Arabidopsis thaliana: one gene and its partners. The protein of the gene in region 3 interacts with the protein of the main gene of each other region in a pairwise test. Each region holds a gene or a part of one and is shown on either strand. Other genes may lie near its edges.

Evidence for each region. Proteins that work in one complex are often made in the same cells at the same time.
Region 1: the proteins of AT3G12180 (region 3) and UMAMIT25 interact in a protein complementation assay, tested with the Arabidopsis thaliana proteins (one large-scale study listed by BioGRID).
Region 2: the proteins of AT3G12180 (region 3) and AT1G44960 interact in a protein complementation assay, tested with the Arabidopsis thaliana proteins (one large-scale study listed by BioGRID).

The regions. Positions count from the first base shown.
Region 1 is NC_003070.9:3,024,545-3,033,138, reverse strand, and holds UMAMIT25 (nodulin MtN21 /EamA-like transporter family protein), read left to right. Parts: upstream 1-3,589; 5' UTR 3,590-3,816; coding exon 3,817-3,995; intron 3,996-5,385; coding exon 5,386-5,448; intron 5,449-5,524; coding exon 5,525-5,641; intron 5,642-5,727; coding exon 5,728-5,980; intron 5,981-6,093; coding exon 6,094-6,252; intron 6,253-6,339; coding exon 6,340-6,491; intron 6,492-6,586; coding exon 6,587-6,788; 3' UTR 6,789-7,077; downstream 7,078-8,594. Other genes in the region: AT1G09390 (GDSL-like Lipase/Acylhydrolase superfamily protein), read right to left, coding at 209-473, 586-752, 831-1,022, 1,620-1,875; AT1G09370 (Plant invertase/pectin methylesterase inhibitor superfamily protein), read right to left, coding at 7,714-8,244.
Region 2 is NC_003070.9:16,996,251-17,003,251, forward strand, and holds AT1G44960 (SNARE associated Golgi protein family), read left to right. Parts: upstream 1-3,195; 5' UTR 3,196-3,325; coding exon 3,326-3,630; intron 3,631-4,716; coding exon 4,717-5,197; 3' UTR 5,198-5,484; downstream 5,485-7,001. Other genes in the region: AT1G44970 (Peroxidase superfamily protein), read left to right, coding at 5,987-6,256, 6,342-6,533, 6,620-6,785, 6,901-7,001.
Region 3 is NC_003074.8:3,880,304-3,886,545, reverse strand, and holds AT3G12180 (Cornichon family protein), read right to left. Parts: upstream 3,217-6,242; 5' UTR 3,083-3,216; coding exon 3,008-3,082; intron 2,527-3,007; coding exon 2,345-2,526; intron 2,260-2,344; coding exon 2,137-2,259; intron 2,037-2,136; coding exon 1,976-2,036; 3' UTR 1,682-1,975; downstream 1-1,681. Other genes in the region: AT3G12190 (golgin family A protein), read right to left, coding at 1-363; AT3G12170 (Chaperone DnaJ-domain superfamily protein), read right to left, coding at 3,891-4,095, 4,188-4,278, 4,370-4,452, 4,539-4,645, 4,731-4,790, 4,872-4,973, 5,075-5,173, 5,484-5,633; RABA4D (RAB GTPase homolog A4D), read left to right, coding at 6,109-6,242.

The DNA of each region.
Region 1 (8,594 bases), on a different chromosome or scaffold from region 3:
CAAAACATAGATTTGGTTTTTCAGGTTCCTAAGTATGGTTAAGGTTTGATTCAGATCAGATAGACCGGATTAAAATACCTAATCATGTTTGATGCATGACACAAAAATGCTTAACGAAGTTACACATACATGAAGGATTTATGATGACATAAGATCTTAACCGATAAACAGACACTAATGGTGTTTACTTATATGCATCAAAGCTTACCATAATTGTTGGAGTTTGCGATGAGATCGTACTTGATGGCATAAATGTCGACATAGACAATGTTGGCCTCTTTCAGTTCCGTCCTCAGATCCCGACACATATGATCCAGTCCTTCGTTAAACAGTTTTGCAGCTGCGTTATAAGTTGCTAGACAACCATGCTTATCAAAACCTTTGCTATGAACCATTGAAAGTTTCTGAGGCAGACAACCTAATGGTCCTGTGTTGTGAACCCAAAATTTCCTCCCTCCTTCATCATACAATATCTGCAAAACAAATTTAACAAAAGATTTCAACTCTCTCCCAATATCAAGACTTATTGTTTAGCACACTCTAGCATGTTTTATTCAGAATAAACCCACAAACTCTAGTTCTTACCTTTATGGCACTTTTGATCTCGGAAATAACGTTTGGAATAAGCTTGACGACCCGGGAGTAAGAAAGGCCTTTGGAGAATGAATCCGCAATATCATTCTGTCCGATATCGATCATGTACAATGCGTTTCTGAATCCACTTTCGCCTATCATCATCTCTTTCAAAGGATCTGCAAAACATAATGCAAGGGTCCTTTAGTGAATTACCTATTTTTTTGCTAAAGAGTTAATTACGATCAGATAGATACCTGAAATAGAAGCAAGCTCGAGTGCTCGGGATTTGAAATGGAGGAACTGCATGAGCTGAATGTTGAGAGCAAAAGGAACATATCTGGGAAGAGTGGAAGATCCAACAATTGCGAAATTGGCACCGTTTTGGAACTTTGATCCAACCAATGAGTCTAAGTATGGGTTCAATAGACTTGTATTCAAACTCTGGCCTGCCAATATGTCAGAAAAGAATGGAATATTAGATTCATATTTACTTTTGAAGTTAGATATAGAAGTTGCATTTCAACTTTACCAACCACCAAAATTTAACTTGAATCTGCATATCGTTAGTAACAAAATATTTTCATGCATTATAGTATATAAATGACTAAAATATGAAACCTTATAACATGTGATTTGGACAAAACAGAACGCATACTTAACATTGATACCAAAAAAAAAAAAAAAAAACAGAACGCATCTTTTACTATACGGCGTTGTTTGACTCTTTAGTCACGCAATCTAATGTAACGAGTGGGTTCACGCGCCGAATCTACATGGTGGCACCCACTTTTGATTGTGATATCTTCCCATGTTGGTAAGTGGGACCCACTTTTCTTTGGATTAGATTTTCATCATTTCAACGAGTGAATTGTGTCGTTTTGTGGCATCACGCAACGCGATCACCGTCATCAATTATTAGCCGTTGATTAAGGTTTACATCTATTCCATCGGACGGTTGTCACGACTTCATTGCACTTACCTCTAATCTCCACCGTCTAAATAATTAACTAGAGTTAAAAAAAGTCAAGAGAAAGTTGACTTACAAAGGAAATCGATGACGAGGCGTCCGTCGGATAATCGGCCGGTGGATCTCTGGAAAAACGAACGACCGTTAGGAAGACCAATGCTGTATCCGAGTCCGGCGACGAGTCCACCCGTGTCGGAGTTGGAATCGCCAAAGTTAAAAATCACCGGCGGAACCTGACATCCTCCGGCCACTGCCAAGTTTTGTCGGAGAATGAGGATAAACGGAAGGAGAACAAGAAGGAAAGAGTGGGAGTGAAGAGAGAGAGTAGCCATTGTAACTTGCTAGTAGAGATTTGATCAAGATAGAGTGAAGATCGAAAGCTTTGTAATAAATTGTAATAATGGTAAGCCTTAAGTGTGTGGGCCTTATTTCTCTTATTTTAAGCTATAGTGTGTGAGTGTGATTCTTTAGTGAATTTAAAAACAAAGCCTAAGACTTTGTATGTTGGTGGTTGACAGTGACAGACACATAACTCAAGCTTACTGTTGGCTCCAGCTCCAATGTAGATGCTAATTGTTCATACATAAATATGCATATGCATCCTAAAGTATATATCCAAAACGAATGTACAATGGAATTTTCCTTTTGTACGTAACAACGAAAAGATAAGATCGAAAAAATATGCGGCGAAAATTTACGTTGGAACTTGGAAGCCAAAGAGGACGCGGAAATTAATCATCTGGACGCCAACGCTAGCTTGTTTGACTTATGCAAATGGAGCATTACTCATAATTTATTCATCTTCAACTCCAAAAGCATTTCGTATAAAAATTAACCACTGATATCCAGCAAAATGTTAAGCATCACTTACTTTCTCAAATTTCAGCCAACAAAAAAGTTTAACGTGTTTGGTATACCTATGTGCTGACTACAGACCAATGTTTTATCTCTATCCATATGAAATGACATTCTTGCTCAAGGAAGTCACTGTACACCTAAGGAAAGGCCTTTTAAGAATAAATGAGGCCTTTTAAGACCAATAATTGGCCCAACAATATATGTTGTTTTGTATATGAGATTTTCTTATATTATACAAGTTTTCATTATGCATTTTACTTTAGTTTACTAAAGTTTTATATATAAATCATTATGTTTCAGTATAGTTTTTAATTAAAAATTAATTAGTTTTCTGAAAATTATACTAGCCACTCTAGTTATATCCTACTTTTTAATGATATAAATTCCAGTTATTTTCAAAGATATTCTTAAATTACGTATGTCCAACCCATTGTGTAAATGATTACCTAGTTCATACATTAAAAATATATAGTATATATACAGTATGCAGTCGAACTGAAACATGTAATAATATAATCATGAATTTAATTATATATTAAATTTTAGAAATAATTAGATGCATACATTTTGCGGATACTTACCTAGTTATATTTATATTGCATAAGATGCATGCCATTCAATATATATTCGATAATCCATGCCCAACTTCCAACCCTTTTGGGATATAAATAGTTAATTTACCATTTATGATATATATTACACACACAAAAGTTTGACAAAAAGCAAGAGTGATATAATGAAAATCAATTCAAAATACGTAAGATAATACTAATTCGATATTGTTAATCAAGCGATAAACCAAGCCCTTGGTTTAATATCACAGAAACGAGTTTTAGCAAAGGCAAATTGATTGCTTGAAGCTTGAGAAAGACATTCACAAGCTCCACCAAACCCATGAAAAAACGGAAACCAAAAAAATGGATTAAAACGAGGAAAATAAGTTAGATTTTTTTTTGACAAAACGCCAATTTGGATTGTATTAGTAATCAGCAAGGAGAAAATTTAAATAAATTGCCAAAAATATCAAATGATTCATATCACCTATTGTTTCGTGTTCTTATGCCCTAAAGAGAGTCCAAGTGTTACAAGCAAACTTCATTCTCGAACCGTTTCTCACCTTTCTGTTTAAAACATCTCTCTCTATATATATGTATGTATATAAATAAATATATGTATGTGCATGTATATATAAATGTGTGTATATATACATCTTTGGCTATAAATATAAGGTCGAACCAAAATAAAATATAGATTTGGGGAAACTAATAAATGATATAGAGAATCCACCTCTCTCCCTTATTTTTTTTTCTTGGTTTCTTGACCTATTATTATTGATTAGTAATAGTGAGAGAGGCATATTTTGGAGATACACATAAACACATAAATTGGAAGAATAAAATAAAAGAGAGTGAGAGATGGCTAAATCAGATATGTTGCCGTTCTTGGCGATGGTGTTGGTGCAAATCGGCTACGCAGGCATGAACATTACGTCGAAGATGGCTATGGAGGCCGGTATGAAGCCACTCATCCTGGTCGCTTATCGTCAGATATTTGCCACTATCGCCACTTTTCCGGTCGCATTTTTTCTCGAACGGTAAAAAAAAAACCATACTAATATCTGCCCATATACATCTTATTTGATCAACTAACGATTTTAGACATGTATGAATTACACGATTAAAACAATTGCATCGATGAAATGTTGAATTTGTTTTAATTCTTGAATAAAGCATATGGGTGTTTTTATTACTTTTTTGGGGTTAAAAGTAATTAGGTTTTAGGTGGTGAGTCTATGTTTTACAAAGATCAGCAAGAAATGCTAAACTTTGATTAGCTAAATTTTTCTTTTAGCATTGTTTTTTTGTGTTTTCAAGTTTGTCTTAACTGCGAAAGTAGAAAATGATGAAATCATATTCATCAACATAAACGTCAAAATGGTGAGTGCGTATATTAAAATATTAACGACGAAAAACCATTTACTAAATGGCTTTGTGAGTCTCATGTAGAACGTTTTTACGTCTTTGAACTTTCTTGCGTCACCTAAATTTATTACTTTCCAAAAGTTTCAAAAATCAAGCTTTTTAATTTATTGACATAGAAGTACTGCATGCTTAAAGTCTTTTTTTTTTGTGGTCAAGATTTTTTTTGATATATGTTAATAACTTAATTCATCAGTACTATACGTTGAATAGATTTAAATTCATTAATTTACTTCTTATTATTTTACAATTTTGGCAACAAATGAACCTCCATTTAGAAGACTAAAAATTAAAAACACTAAACTAATAATTAAGAAAAAAAGTTTAGCACGACATCGTCTTATTTTCCGGAGATTACGATAGAATACGCATATAATGGTATATGGTAAGCTATAAGTTTCTTGATGAATAATATTAATTCAGAATGTGAAGAAAAATGTGGTAAAGAAAAAAAAGACAAAAAAGTGGTAAAGTGACGCTGATTAATTAGTTGAAATGTAGTAGACACTAGCTTTTTTCTTTTGTTTATTGGGATTAGTATTTACCGTTATTTTTTCATAATCATGGTACCGTCAATGATTTTGGTGGTATGTGGAAACCTAAGTAGTTACATTATCATTAATTCCGTTTTCCGAGAGAGAAACAAATGAGAAATGTGACGCAGTCTCACACAATCCACGCGTCACGTTTCTTTCTTAAACCGAAGCACATGATGACAAACAAATCATGATGCCAGGTGAGTTAAGCGTCGTCAGGTGCCGTGCCATCTTCATTTGCCAAGACACGTGCTTCTTCAATTACGTTTTTTACTCTGTTTCTCCACTCTAATCTCTTCATATGATATGAGAAGTGAATTTGATTGTTTTCTTGAGTCTCGGTTTAACTTAACCGGGTGGTTTTAGGATTAGTTGCATGATTACATTCAATGAGAAATGCTTTAATTGATTAATAATGATTAGTGGACTAATGAAAACATAAATTTTTCATACACGGTTTCTTGTGCAGGAAGACAAGACCGAAGATCACACTTAGGATTCTTGTCCAAGTCTTCTTCTGCTCCATTACTGGGTATCTTACATACACTTTACCTACTAATTGCAATCTTACTTTGTTATAAAGCGATTTACATTGATTTTCTTTGCAGTGCGACTGGAAACCAAGTGCTATATTTCGTAGGACTTCAGAATTCATCTCCGACCATTGCTTGTGCCTTAACTAATCTCTTACCAGCGGTCACTTTCCTCCTCGCCGCAATATTCAGGTTATATGAAATTAATCTTAATTAAGTTTCCTTCAGACAATACTCGTTTATGATTATTGCTTAACACAAGACTTTTTTCTTTTCAGACAAGAAACCGTGGGGATCAAGAAGGCATCAGGACAAGCCAAAGTGATAGGGACGCTAGTATGTGTGATCGGAGCCATGGTTCTCTCCTTCTACCATGGTCACACCATCGGCATTGGAGAATCCAAGATCCATTGGGCCTACGCTGAAAACATCACGAAACATGGTTCCAGTTCTGGCCATTCTAATTTCTTCTTGGGACCTTTTCTTATTATGGCTGCTGCCGTTTCTTGGGCCGCTTGGTTCATTATCCAGGTAACTTAATTACTTAATTAAAAAAAAATGTAGCTTCAAACAATTTGAACCCACATAATGGAAAATGAAACTAAATTCTCATTTGGTTATGATAAATATTATTTTGGTTACAGACGAAGATGAGTGAAACATTTGCAGCACCGTACACGAGCACACTACTAATGTGTTTGATGGGAAGTATCCAATGTGGAGCCATTGCTTTGATCTCCGATCATACAATCTCTGATTGGTCTCTCAGCTCTCCTCTCCGCTTCATATCCGCCCTTTATGCCGTAAGTCCACATACATATACTATGATCATTAGATAACAATCTTAAGCTAAAAATATATGACACTAGTATAAAACACGGATCATGCAGGGAGTGGTGGCGTCTGCGTTAGCTTTCTGCCTAATGTCATGGGCTATGCAGAGGAAAGGTCCTCTGTACGTCTCTGTTTTCAGCCCTTTACTTCTCGTAGTTGTCGCCATTTTCAGCTGGGCTCTTCTTGAAGAGAAACTCTACACCGGCACGTATGTTTCTATACATCTTTATCTATCTCTCTGTGTGTTTAAACATTATATAAACGAGATGATGATGATGAATTTATATGATATATGTATATTAGGTTTATGGGATCAGCACTTGTGGTTATTGGTCTCTATGGCGTATTGTGGGGGAAAGACAGAGAGGTGAGTGAGAAGGAAGAAGAAAGGGAGAAGGTGAAACAACAAAACCATAAAGTCAAGAGTGAAAGTAATGAAGATATTGAATCGAGATTACCGGTAGCAAGTAGTGGAAATGGTTCCACAAGGTCTACATCGCCTTAAAATGGTGATTGCTTCTTCATCATATATAAGTATGAGCTATGGAAGAACCTTTTGGGATTTCTTGTTATCTAAGTTACTGCAACTAAATTGGATTTTCGGAGTGTTTAATTTTGTATCCCATTTTGAGGCTAATGATGGAGTGTTGATTTGTGTGTTCATCCTATGGACAACAAATATCACCTGTTTGATCTCTATATATATTCAGTATTCTTAATCTTCATCGTTTCCATTATCTTATTTTCTTTCTAATAACCTATTTCCTTTATCCCCAAAACAAATCAAATCATAGTCTTCAAGTAATTTATTTTATGTTTTGTCAGAGGGTGAAAGTTATTACAGACCTTCAATATTCATTTAGACCCAAAATGTAAAATAGTGCCTTGAAACAGAGGGTTTCGGTTCGTGCAAGTCAATTACAATTGGCTGTAACGGTTTAATCCTGGTTTAGTAACTCAAGTGTTATATACGAATCAAAACAGAGTCGCTGTTCTGTTTTGTTAATCTTCTTCGTCATTCTTGATTACGAGTTGCAAGGTTTATCTCGGTTCATGTACCTGTAATCGATAGATATAGTAGATTTGATACAGAACATGGAGAATCACATGCGATTTAGTTAGACTTAATTGTCAAAGACAAACACTATGGACATTTATTAGTATTATTGACCACCTGATTTTGCCATAAGGTCATAATTCATAGAAGCAAAAACAGAATTAGATCTTACAGAAAAAGATATATTATATTATATCCCAAGTGTTTATTTTTATCCTTATCAAGTTCAGTTCAATTCAACCTCAGCATCAGCATCGCCATTAAAAACATATATGCATATAGAGAATTGCAATTAAGAAGATTCTGTAACCATTATTAATTAGAATATTTCTGGAAACATTTGCTACTATGTCATGATTCAACAACAATCAGATTATGAAGAAACCATATGACTAACAATCTGTTCCATGGATAGTAAGATCTTCGTCTGTCTGTTTTTCTCAATCAACGGATTGATCTGATAACCGAGCACATTGAAATCTGTCTTACAGATATCAACAGCCATAGAAACTTTCTTTTCGATATTGACAATCTTACTGTAGTAAGCTTGCTTGAAGAAGGTTACAGCTTTCGTGAACGCCGAGTTCACAATGGCGTAAGCTTCGGCGCACGCTTGAAGATCAGGCCTCTCGTCTCCAGCATTCCTGAGAAGCGTGCTGATGAAGAAATAAGTGTTGGCCGCGAACCTTTCAGCTTCGCTTACTGTCACGTTCATGATTTCTTTGTTACTTGCGGGAAAAGTATTCAGGTTCTTGATCAAGAGACTACTGCAAAATCTGGTATCCATTGTCTGCTTGCAGATTCCGTTGACCCTTTGTTGAGTTTTTTCATCGAGAAAAGCTTCTGCAACGGAGGAAGCGAGTATAATTGCCAAAACTATCGAGAGAATGTGATGCATTTTCATCTTTCTTCTTTTTTTTTTTTTTTTGTAAATTGAGTATGTGGTCATTTGAGAAAGAAATTTGTTATTTTATATATGAAATTAGGCATTTGAATGAATCAGTCAAGAGTCAAAAAAAGTCTTTGTAAGTTACCAAAATTGCGTGTGAGAATTAGTGTATTTCAAGGAAAAGAAAACAATTCCCAAACTACAATATTTTGTTTATTTATCTGAACTAACATTCAATGTTTATAAATTATTTGAGTTGACCAAATCTTCAATACATTAAAAAGTCAGTATTGATGCATATGTGTCAAGGCCACAATTACACTCAACTTTTATTTTTTTATTTAATTCTACTATTATTTTTGTCA
Region 2 (7,001 bases), on a different chromosome or scaffold from region 3:
AATTATATTGACTTGATGTAGCCCAAAATTATTTTTATAAATCCAAAAATATCAAGTACTATAAATAGATCAAAATTACTAAAATACCAAAAATAACCAAAAATCGAAAAATTAAACAAAATTTTATCAAAATCTAACCAATTTTTTCATTATTTCGGTACCCGAATCGAAGTAGCCAAAACCAAACGTGGCACGCCTATGCCACCAGGCCTAAACTATAAAACCCAAAAAACTAGAATCGAACCTGAACTAGTACCCGAACGCCTGAACTAGTACTCGAACGCCTAGGCCTAACAATGTATACGTAAAAATATAAAACTTTATCACATTTCCCGATTTTCATTAATTGTATAATAATTCATTATATAGGGGTGTAACACTTTAGCTAGAGATATTCCAAAAATAAGTCACTCGGGATTAGAAGTGGGCGTTTGGATACCCATTCGTTAGGGTATTTCTAAATTTTGGGTTTGGATCGGGGTCAAGTCCGATATTTTGGGTTCGGAAACTGGTTACCCGAAGTTCTCAAAAATCAAAATTTTAAAACCAAATATATCCAAACTACTCGAAAATACAGAAAATAACTAAAAACCTTGAACACTTTTGTATTCAAATTTACTCAAAAGTAGATTAAATACCTAAAATTATTTTAAGTATCTGAAAATCTAAATATTTTGACGCTTAGATTATTGCAAATATAAATATTAATACGATCAAATGATTCTTCAACTTTTTTTGTTAATCTCCTCATTACTTTTAACAACAAGTCAAGAAATTGCTCGATTTGTTTTGCAATTTCTTGACTTGTCATCACATGTCTCCACAGTTCTCACATGTCATCACACTACTTAGTGTACCACAAAAAATCTGGTAAACCATACTATCATAAGAGGAACCAGGAGAATGGAGACATTTGTCCATGCATCTAGCAAATTAACCAGATACTCATGTTCATCTTCATGTGCCTCATATTCGTGTATTTTTAATACGCGTAGTTAAGCAATATATGATAAGCTAGAATTATAGTTTATTTTACTATATTAATTTTGACTCCACACAATGCGTGGAATACCCCCTAGTAAACTATAAAAAAAAATATGAATAGAAAGACGTAAATCTTTTTGACCTTGAATAAATAAGAAGCTTAACTTAACAAGCATCCAAAATGTATTTTTGTAATCCGTTTAATTTTATCAGAAATATTAAATTTTAAAATTTTATGATTGTGTATCATATTTAAACTAGATTTTAATCCGCGGTATATCGCGGGACGATTTATTTTTTAAAAGTAAGATATATTGAAACTTGCAAATTTTATTCTTATAAAATATTTATATTTTACAGTTTATAATTGTTACCACAATTTTTAGCTTAAAGTTTTATATTTTATAGTTTAATTTTATATATACTAACATTATACATACCACATAACATTTTTGGTTTTATATAATCTTTTCTAAATTAGGATGATTTGATATGTTTAATATTAATGGTCTTAAAAAATAATAAATTAAAGATTTAACCCGTATTGAAACGGTGATTTAATTATATTTTACTTTTTTTATTAATGTTGATTCAAAAACCCGTCCCTCCAAATCCATCTTGCCAAAAAGCCATTTATTTTATTAATATTAATTTTATTTATGATATGACTCTAAATTATAATCTAAACATTTTAGCTAATAACATAGAAGTGCACCATATTTATTTAATAGGGGAATGTACCATATGACCCGAATGCACTTTTACCCAAATCCACCAAAAAAGTCTTGCAAAAATACTATAGAGATAAGAAACGATAGTCGGTTTTGATAGGTATAAGATTAGCAAATATATTAGTTAGCTTAAATTAGTTAAAGAATACAAATTAAAAAGATATATTACACTTTATTCGAATATAGTATAAAAACTTATATAACACAGAGATTTGATAATTTTTTAATTGTTGAATACTTTTTTGTGCTAATTTTTATGTGATTAAGATTTAGTTGATTTCGTATATAAAATATTAAATTGTTTTACGAACTTATTTGTTTATAATTTGGTAACAGATAGATATTTGAATATTCAGTATATTTTGCTTAAGTTTAGGAAATCTTTGATGACCCGTCTTTAAATCAAATAAGCCCTATAATTAAGAGATGAACTAGGATTTAACCCGCGGTTTACCGCGGGCAATCGGTTTATTTGGTTCTTATACTAAATATTTGAATAAATTTGATATCCTAAACTTATAAATATAAATTTTTTAATCAGACATAACTAAATAATAATTGAGATTTTTTTTTGGTTGTTATTTAGTGATAAGAAGAATGTGTTAAAATGTGTTTAATTTTTCTTTTGTTATTTACTTATTTTTGTTGAACGGATTAGATTGAAGTGAATTAAAATTATTGAACGGTTTAGATTGAATCGGATCATATCAAGTTTAGGAGATTGTTAAGACCAAATTACCCTTAATGATTTTGAATAGCAAAGAACAAAATCCAAAATTGAAATCAAAATTGAGGCCAAATTAGACAAAATTTCAATTTGTACTTCCCTTTTAATAATAAGAGGATATTGTCGTTAAAAGATTTTGGTAATTAATGACGTCATTAAAGGATTTTGTTTTTGATTAAATTTTTCTAATGGCATTGTCATGTAATTAACTACAAAAATTAAGGTTAAATTTAAAATGTACTTCCCAAATAATATAGTAGGATACTTGTAATTTGTATCATTTATATGATATTTATATTTATATTTATATTTTATAATTGTCATTAAGTAACGATATACCACATAAGAAGTTTGTTTTGTACAATCTTATATTAATTAGACAGATGTTATATGTCTAACACTAGTGATATTAATAAATAATAAAATAAGAATTTCATCTGTATTAAAGTAGTAGGTTAATGATGTTTTATTTACTTATTAATATTGTTTCAAATCCGTTCCGCCATATAACTCCGTCTCGGAATATAACTCATCGCATATTATTTTAATTTTCCTAATATTATAAACTTTTATTGATTTTAAATACATCAATCATAATATTAATAATAATTTAAATGAAAAATTATAGAAAATAAATCGTGATTGTCAAGTTTTCACTTTTGATAATTTTTTCTTGTAATTAGTCAATTAGTGTTATATTGTGGAGAGTTGAATAGTCTCATTTTGCAATTTTAGAAGATCAAGGGTATATTTCCAAAACATTGCAGTTTTGAGGATTCAACTTGCAATTTACCCTTTTCAAAAATCACTTTCGACAATTACCAAAAACCAGTTCCCCCATTTCATTTCACGCTTTCTTCTCTTCTCATCTCAGAGCTCCGTGATGAAGAAATGGTTAGCAATCGCAGCGACGGTGGCGATAATTGCAATAATCGTTAGACAAGGCACGACACAATACGGATGGAACAAAGAGGCGGCGTTGGAAAAGCTAAAGGAATGGTCAGATCGGCTGGGGATTTGGGCGATTCCAACGTATGTAGCGGTTCACACAATAACCTTAGCTCTTTGTCTCCCTCACGCCGTCTTCTTTGAAGCTGGTGCTTCTATGCTCTTTGGTTTCCTTCCTGCTCTTCTCTGTGTTTTCTCTGCTAAAGTTCTCGCCGCTTCTTTCTCCTTCTGGATCGGCAGGTCTGCTTCTCAATTGCACTGTTATGTGATTCAAATTGATCTGTTGGATCGTTAGTTTGTGTCGCTAATGTACGAATTTGATCGAAATGATTTGGATTTAGAACAATGATTCTCACATGGCTTATCTTGGCTTCGTAGAAAGTATATGATTCATTAGTAATACACTCTGGTTTAGTTTATGTTATCGTGTTTTGTGAATGCTTAAGGTTTTACTTGGAGATGGTTTAGATTTTTCTTTAGTGCACCATTGTTGAAACCTTTTGCAGAACGTTTATTGAAATCCATTAAATTGTAAGCATGAATGATAGGAAGGGAATGTTTGTGTGAAGAAATGGTGTCATTGTTGGTTATTCAGCGGTAAGATAACACCGTTGTTCACCAAAAAGGCGGAGAAGATGCATGATATTTTCTTGCGAGATTTAGATGGATGTCTTCAGATTCTATAATGGTGTTTGGATAAGAGTGGTTGTTGTCTTGTGTATGTGACGGAGATGTAAAGAACCGTTAGATGCTTGTCATTTGCTTGTTAATATATGCTAGGGAATGATTTGCAATATTCACATTTATGCTGGATTTTTACATGGCTTCATAGAAACTATATGCTTCATTAGTAACACTCTGATTTAGTTTAAGTTATCGATTTCTGAGATTTTACTTGGAGATGTAGAATAAACTCTTTTGTTGGTTTTGATTGTCCTGCTATCGCTGAAACCTCCGTATACAGAAGTTTTCACGAAAATCCATTCTACTCTAAGCATTATAGGAAGTGGATCTTTGTGTAAAGAAATGATGTCATTTTGGCTGTTCAGAGGAAAACTAACACCGTTATTCGCCAAAAAGGCGGAGAAGATGCATGTCTTCCTATTCTATAATGGTGTGTGGATGAGATTGGTTGTTTTCTTGTGTATGTGATGGATATGTATGGACTAATTGTTAAATGCATGCTGTGATTCTAATTGCCAATTAATATATGTAGGAGAATGCAACTAGGATGTTGATTAACCTTAGCAATGTGATATGCAGTTTTATTTATTTATCTATCTATTGGGAGCACTTGCATTCTCTCATACTTTTTTGAATTTTCAGGTTTGTTTTTAAGAGTTCCACCAGAGCTACAGGGTGGGCGCATAGCAACAAGTACTTCAATATTCTCTCAAGAGGAGTTGAGCGCGATGGTTGGAAGTTTGTTCTTCTTGCAAGGTTCTCGCCCATTCCTTCCTATGTCATAAACTACGCTTTGGCAGCTACTGAAGTCCGGTTTGTAGCTGATTTTCTGTTCCCCACGGTTATTGGCTGCCTCCCGATGATCCTGCAGAACGCATCAGTCGGTAGCCTCGCTGGTATGGCTGTGGCTTCAGTAGCTGGAAAACAGAAAAGTCAGGTCTGGGGTTATGTTTTCCCAGTACTTGGGATACTGTCAAGTGTTCTGATTTCATTGAGGATCAAAAAGTACTCAGCTGGAATTACAGAGGCATCATCAGATACCTCTGCTAACAACTCTAGTTTAGCTTCATCTGAAACTGCGAATCCCGCTTATGGAACCGATGGATCCAAGAAAAGTGAGTGATTATACAAACCATGATGGTGGTTTTTGATCGCCGGTATTACACTTTGTTTGGTTTGCAGCTATCAGATTCTCAACATCATGGCTTATTTTGGACGAGTTAGGCAGTATCTTAATAGTAACAAAGCATTAGTTTTTGTACTTCTTAAGTTAAAAGCTTAGAACAAAACAACAGTGTTATTTTCTATACCAGACACAAAAACTGTGTCGTTGTAATAACACTTACCATAACATTTTCTTTCAGTGTATGTTTAAAGCCGTTTATATGGTTGAAGCAATGTGACTAAAATTTTTGTAGCATTGAAACAAGCTATATTTGCATTGCTATGGTCTTGTTTTGTGACTAAAAGACTTGGATGCAGAATGGATATAAGTTAAATGTCTGATTTTGTAAATAACTTATGAAGAGAAAATCTTTATTCGGTAAGAGTTGTTTTCTCAATGTAGCAGTTCACTCATCATTTTCAAACTTCAACTCTCAGAGAACACAAAGAGGTTAGACAGTGCAGATGCTTATGGTTGAGAAGCTTTACCTAACAATGGTACAAGGCGGTTTTGTTGGGATCACATGTGAAGTTAGGCACATGGATTCGTTCTTGGAGTTGGTACAAGGACTTCTAAAAGACAACAATGAGGTATAATAAGGACAAGTTGACTATGTCTCTCTCTTTTATCTTAACATTCTAAATTAGGATTTGGTAAACTGAGAGCAGTTAGCTTCTTGAATCTCTAAAGTATAAAAACCCTCACCGTTTTACTACTATCTCATCTTAAAACTCCCAAGTAACAAAAATGGCTATCTCAAAGCTTATTCCTACTCTTGTGCTCTTTGTTTTGTTCTCTTTTGATGTTAGTGTTGCTCATCCAGGTCTAGGATTTGGATGGGGAAGTAATAGTCCCATTGGAGGATCTTTTTACTCAAATCTTTACCCACAATTTTACCAGTTCTCTTGTCCACAAGCTGATGAGATTGTTATGACGGTGCTCGAAAAAGCCATAGCTAAAGAACCAAGAATGGCAGCATCTTTACTCAGACTTCACTTCCACGACTGCTTCGTTCAGGTAAAAGTATCTTTACCTATTTTTGTTTTCCCTTTATGTGTCTCTTAAGCTTAACACTTATACACTACACTCTGTGTGTAAACAGGGCTGTGATGCATCAATCTTGTTGGATGATAGTGCAACCATAAGAAGTGAAAAGAATGCTGGACCAAACAAGAACTCCGTTAGAGGGTTTCAAGTAATCGACGAGATCAAAGCCAAACTTGAGCAAGCTTGTCCTCAAACTGTCTCCTGCGCCGACATTCTAGCTCTAGCTGCTCGTGGCTCAACTATACTGGTAAAATTAAGAGACCTTCAAGAGAAACTATTGGCTCAGTTACAAGTTATATAGCTTATATTTATCGAATTTGTGGTTCAATGCAGAGTGGTGGACCATCATGGGAGCTTCCACTAGGGAGGAGAGACTCGAGGACCGCTAGCCTTAATGGCGCAAACACGAACATTCCTGCACCTAACTCAACTATTCAAAATCTCTTAACCATGTTCCAACGTAAAGGTTTGAACGAAGAAGACCTTGTTTCCCTATCAGGTGAGATTAACATGTATTTATCTTTTGTTTAAGGAGTTGGCAAGGAAACCAAACCGAGACCGGTTTCTTAAAACCGAATGATAACAACGTTTTTAACCAAACCAAAATGTTGCAGGAGGACATACGATTGGAGTAGCGAGGTGCACAACGTTTAAACAAAGACTATACAATCAAAACGGTAATAACCAACCAGACGAGACGCTAGAGAGGTCTTAC
Region 3 (6,242 bases):
CTGAACCAGAAAACGTTTCTTTTCCTCAGATTCGATCTCTCTCTTTAGCCTATCTAGTTTCCTCTGCTTTTCTTCAAAGTCTCTTCTAAATCCATCAGCTGTATTAATCTCTCGAGCCCTTTTCTCCAGAATTTTTCCTTTTGACTCTAACTCATGTGACCTCTTCTCTAGATGTTTCTCCTTCGACTCTATTTCTTGTGACCTCTTCACAAGATCTGATTCAATTGAATCAAAATGAGATTCTAGATCTCTCCATGATAGCGTGAAGGACAATACATCAGAGGCTTTAGACTCGGCCTTCATCAATGATCTACGAAGACGCTCTTTCTTCCACTTGGCGACTCTTAACTTTTTCACTTCCATTTGCACACACTTTCTTCAACGCCAAGCTTTCTACTACAAAAAAAAAACAGAGAATGAGCCACAAGGAACCAAAGAAACCCTAGGAGATAACAAGACAATCACTCACAATGACGTACACAAAGTGGCAAGCGATCTATGAACTCGAAATAATAGGTCCTTTGAATTCAGAAAAGACCAAGAAATGGATGAACACAGTAATCGCGGAAACTAAGACACGATATCGAACATTTGATCATCTACAGAGAAGAAGATAGAAAAGAGAAATATGCAGAAAGAAACCTTGGGAGTGCGAACTCTCTCTGCTTGATCCTTTTTGGCTACTGAGTAAATGAGGATACAAGTTTCATATAAACCTTTTTATACCCTTTTTACAAATTATTTTCTACAAACATTTATTAGTTACCTTATTATGGCTTTTAATTCAACTTATTTTATAGTAACTAGGTCTCTTATCCCTAAGAACAGAAATAAAATTATTAATGGATTTCCTTAACTGTATTTCCATTGAAGGTATCTAAACTACCTTCATTAAAATCAGACTCTGCTCTAGACGACTAGACATGTGTTGGAGGTGCTAATGAAATACATTAAAATTTGGGTCAAAATTTTTATTTTCTTTCTAAAAAACATGAGAAAAATGGCCCATTTATTTTTCTCACCTCAGGAACCTCAAATTTATTGAGCTGGAGATTAAAATCATACTAAAAATGAAAAAGCATGAGAGAAATTTTTGTTTTAAGAACTCATAAGTGAGGCATCAAGAGGAAAAAAGAAATGAAGTCATAGGATGGATTATGGTTTTGATAAGGTAAGTGAATAAGCGCCTATTTGCTGGATTAAGTGGCATAGTCGTTGGGAGTTAATTAAGGACACCCACGGGCCACGGCCAAGTATGAAAATTGTAGTCTATCTATCTTGAATGATCTTTTCGCTTGGATTGACTAGAGTCTCTCGTGGTCCCAGACTCTTGCCCTAAAAAATCTAAATAAGGAAAGTTCCTTATTTAACCGGTTTAATGCCCGTAGTAAATATTATCGGTTTGTGAGATGGTCTGAGCCGGTCCGGATCGGGTCATAGGGGGTCTGGGACGTAATCAAGCTGGATAACTCTCTTGGGTTGGGCCGTAATCCTTCTTGGGTCGCTATTTGGTCACTATCGCAAAAATTGGCTCATATAAAAAGGTTTGTTGAAACATGCCTTGGTTTTTGTTCTTGCAGAGTTTCTGTTTGGGTCACCTTCTCCTCCTCCTCTTGGATGGACATGGATTTAAGGTCCACAGCGGGTTCAATTGCATCTCCGATAAACTAGATATCGGTGCGTTTTTCCACAGCCAGTCTATGTAATACAATGTAGCTTCATTCTTGATACATGATTTTTATGACTTCAATGATGAGACTGAACATTATATTGCGCAAAACAAAACTGATGAAACCCTCCATGTCAAACGATTTGTGATGAGTTTTCGGTAATCATACGTTATATAAAGCTACATGATGAATCCCTGAATGGCTAATTCTAAGCAGGGACGTAATAAAAACCTGTCACAATTTTCTAAAACACACTCAGAAAATAAAGAGAGAGTGGTTGATAACGCAGAGCGCAAGCGCATAAATCAAAACAAATGAAGTAGATCATCATCTTCCGTGAAGCTATAGACCGCAGAGAGAGTGAGCCTGCAAAAATGTTTTATGGACTCGGTAAGTAACTTCATAGTAGAAGAACCAAAGTAAGTGAAGATGTTAATAGGAAAGCTAAAGCTGTAGTTTTTTTTACCTAAAGACAACCATGATGAAGAGAAAGACGTAGAACCCGAGCTTGGTATACCGGAGCTTCTTTTCAAAGCTGATACCACGGAACACTTCAGTGACATCGATGAGATAACGTCGCTCTTTGTATCTGAAGAACAATGGGAGGCGCGTATTTAGTTTCCACGCATGTCAATCAAGAATCATAAGCAATATGGATGGATATAGATACTTACAACATTGCGTGATAGACTGTTACAGGGACGGCGACCAGAAAGAAGACCCAATGCCATGTGAGGAGGAAGAGAAGGCAGAGTGACCCTTGGAGGATAAACTCAGGTATTACTAATCGGTTGATACGGGTACTTGTTTCAAAAGGGTTCAAGTAATCAGCTTCTAAATCCGTTAAGCAGATAACCTACAAAATCACACACGATATCAATAGACTAAAAAGGAATCTCAATGCTTCAATCATTAGCAGAGGCAGTTAGTATGAGAGTAAACACTATTGGTAGTAGTATCTAACTTCATTCATTCACAGTATATAACTCGCAATTAATCAACTATATGTCTCAATTGACCAAGTATCATATACAAGCCTTGCAGACAATCCAAATCAGAACTAAGAACAACTTTGAGTTAGAAGCATAAGATTAAGGATAAACAATGAAACCTCTCTGGACCCAAAAAATTGTCAATTGTATTTAGTACAAAACCGACGAACACAAAGGAAAATTGTTCCATTCCTAATTTTTTAGCTAATTCGAACAAAAAGCTAAGTTGCTCGGTGTTTTTTCACAAGTACAATTCCGACAATCAGGATTTGAACAGTAAGGACAGATCTCGATTTAAGAATCTTAATGGAAAGTAAAAGGGGACAAACAAAGTAGATAGATTACCTGGTAGAAGACGGAAGCGACGAGAGCCAAGCTAACGAAGAAGGAGACTATCCATAAAAACAAATCCCAAGCCATATTTGCTCTCTTCAACAATTACGATTCGTCTTTTTGCGACTGCGACTCTTCTCCTTAAATACCTTTGAAAAAAAAAGAACTCTTCTTCTCTCAACAATTGGTGTACTTTACTTTGGGGTTCTATTGGACATTAGATTCTTCTTTCCTTTTTATTATTACTTCTCTAGTTTCTTTTTGTGAATATCCTTTTTGTTAAATTCCTTTTTCTTTTTCAACAAAAAAAAAAGATGCTTGGTGTTAATTAATAAAGAACTAACAAAATTTATTAACTGTATGCCATTTAGGCCTATACAAGCCATATAAGTAAATAATTTCATTTTTTTCTTCTCTTTTAGAATAATTATTTGGTTCTTTTAAATAAGTTCACTTGAAATTTGTTAGTTCTTTATTTAGGCCTATACAAGCCAAAGGATCCGTCCACTCTCCTCTTCCCGAGAAACTTGGTTGATACCGTACGTTTATATGTTACATTGTAACAAAGGCTTGTTTAGTTATCAACTGATTATGATGCATTACTCGACCTGATTGTTTTTGCAGGTGGAGAAGTCCTAGGACCCGGTGATAGAATTTCTCTTCTTCTGAAGATCCAGACGACATACACGTGGGACCCTGAGCTTTTGAACTGGTAAACTCACTGCTTTTTTTGTTGTTGGAAAAAAGACAAAAAGTAAAAATACACATTGTTTCCTAGCAAATACACATTAGTCTTCAACTTCTAAGAAGCAACAAATGTGATCTAATTTACGCTAAAAACATTGGTCTCCATTACAAACACGAAACCTAAATTTCACAAACTACTACATAATCTTTATTTTTTTCTAGACTTCTTCGATGATCTCCGGCTTTCAACTTTTCTCTGAGCAGCTTCGAACTCTTCTTCGTTTGGCTCAGAGTCAGCATTGCTACCATACCTAGAGACAAGTGAAGAGAACATTGAATCGAACTTCTCTTTCCTCTCATCTCCCCGCTGGGACATTACAGCGTATAAATCTTTATCTGCAGCCTTTGCTGCTCTGAAAGTATAGAAATTTTGAAACAGGTCACAACAAAGATAACTTCAGAGGGCATTTATTGGGGTGGAAAAGGTAGACAAATAGAAGCTTACTTCCGTCTCATCTTCTGGGGATTCGTGGGAGGTTCCATTTCTGCAATCTCCTTTGCCCATTTCTTGTAAGCTTTTGTTGATTTCACTTCTCCTGCAGATGTTAAACAATGGTATGCACAAACAAATCAGAACCTGGATAGGTTTTATAGACAAAAGAATTATTGCAAGAAAGAGAAGCCTACCCGCTGCAATGGCCTCATCGATAATATCTTTGAAACGGTGCGAATCAAGCTTGGGGTTCGAGCAAAGCATTGAGCAGAAAAGCCTGAAAGAGATATAGTACCAATAATGTTTATACAAACTTCAACTCACAAACTTGACAATAATGAAAACAAGGGGATGATTAATTACCTGCTCATTTTACCCTTAAACTTGTTATATAGCTCAATCAAATCATTCTTCTCGGATTCAGAACCCCTATAGTTGGCCTCAAACTCTTCAATATCTTCCTCGGTGACCTATAGCACAAATGATCAGTATACAGAACGAAACAGTTGTGTTGCAAAGTCCAAAAAGAAATCAATTGTGAATCATGATTCTTACCTTCTTGTACATTGCCTTGAAGAAGTCCCTCAAGTTGTCAACCACATCTCCCGAAAGATCCTAATGAGATAGGGAAATAACCAGTTTGTAAGAAAATCCTCCAGTACCTTTACTTAAGTTGAAAACTTTCTTTCAACTTACAGCATCATCAACTGAGCCAGTTTGATCATAGACTGCTCTTTTCTCTTCATCACCGAGAATCGAAATAACCTTTTGCAACTGCTGAAATTTCTCTTTAGCATCCTGTATTGGATAAGAAAAACAAGAATTCCGGTTACAATGTAAAATTGAATAGACCCCTAAAAACTAAGAAAAGTAAAGAAACCAAAACCCCTCAGTTAAACCTCATCATCCTTGTTTTTATCAGGATGAAGCCTCAATGCTAACTTATGATACGCTTTCCTTATCTCTTGTGGAGATGCTGTTGCTTCAACACCAAGAACCTTCAACAAAGACGCATTCATTAGTTCGTTTCACTGAATTCTACTAACCACCAAGAAAACAACTAAGAATTGCAACAGCTACGGTACAAATTGATCAAACCATGGATCTTAACCAAGTAAAGTCTCTTAGCCTCTTACAATCCCAACAATAAACAATGATATTCAGATTATCACAAAAACATCATCAGACGAATCAGCACATGAAAATCGACAAAACAATCTTAAATTTCGAAGCATAACTGGAACAAGTCCCAAATCCAGAAACGGAAACCCTAATTGGAACCATCGGATAAAGAGAATGTTGAGATACCTCGTACAGATTTTTCTCATTGGATCTTCCATCATTCTCCATTTTCAACGTTCTCGTGTAACTCCTTCGCCGAGAAAGTACACACCAGAGATAAGTAATGGAGTTAAAATTTTGCTTCTCAGAAAATTTATGGCGCCAATAAATTTCCATTGCCGCCTATTTTAACAAGGTTATAACCTAATCTGGTATAGTAGTTAAACCGAACTTGATTTGGTATGATATCGATTTTGAATTAATTCGTTCAAATTGCGCCGGTTATGTTTACGTACCGTGCCATTAGGAAATTGAACGGTGAATAAGGTACGAATAAAGTAAACGGCCAGGATGAATTGGGTTAAGGGTGATCTATGGCACAGTAGAATAATTCCTAGAGTAAAGGGTCCCGCATCGGCCGTTAATCCTCTCTTTCTCTCAATCTCTGAATAATTTTTCGCTTTCTCTGCCTAACCACCATTCATTGTGATCTGAGTTTCTGTGTTCGTCTGATGGTAGATTCGACTGTTTCACGCGTGCAATACGAATCCGAGACTCTTCGCCTTTCGTATTCGTGATCTGGAGATTTGTGTATATTCATTCTCCTTTGTTGTTGTGTTTTTAAATAATAATAATAAGAAGAAGAAGAGAGATGTCTAATTTGTATGGAGATTATAACCAAAAGATCGATTACGTCTTCAAAGTCGTGTTGATCGGTGATTCTGCCGTTGGCAAAACTCAGCTTCTTGCTCGGTTCGCTAGGAATGAGTTTAGCGTCGATTCTAA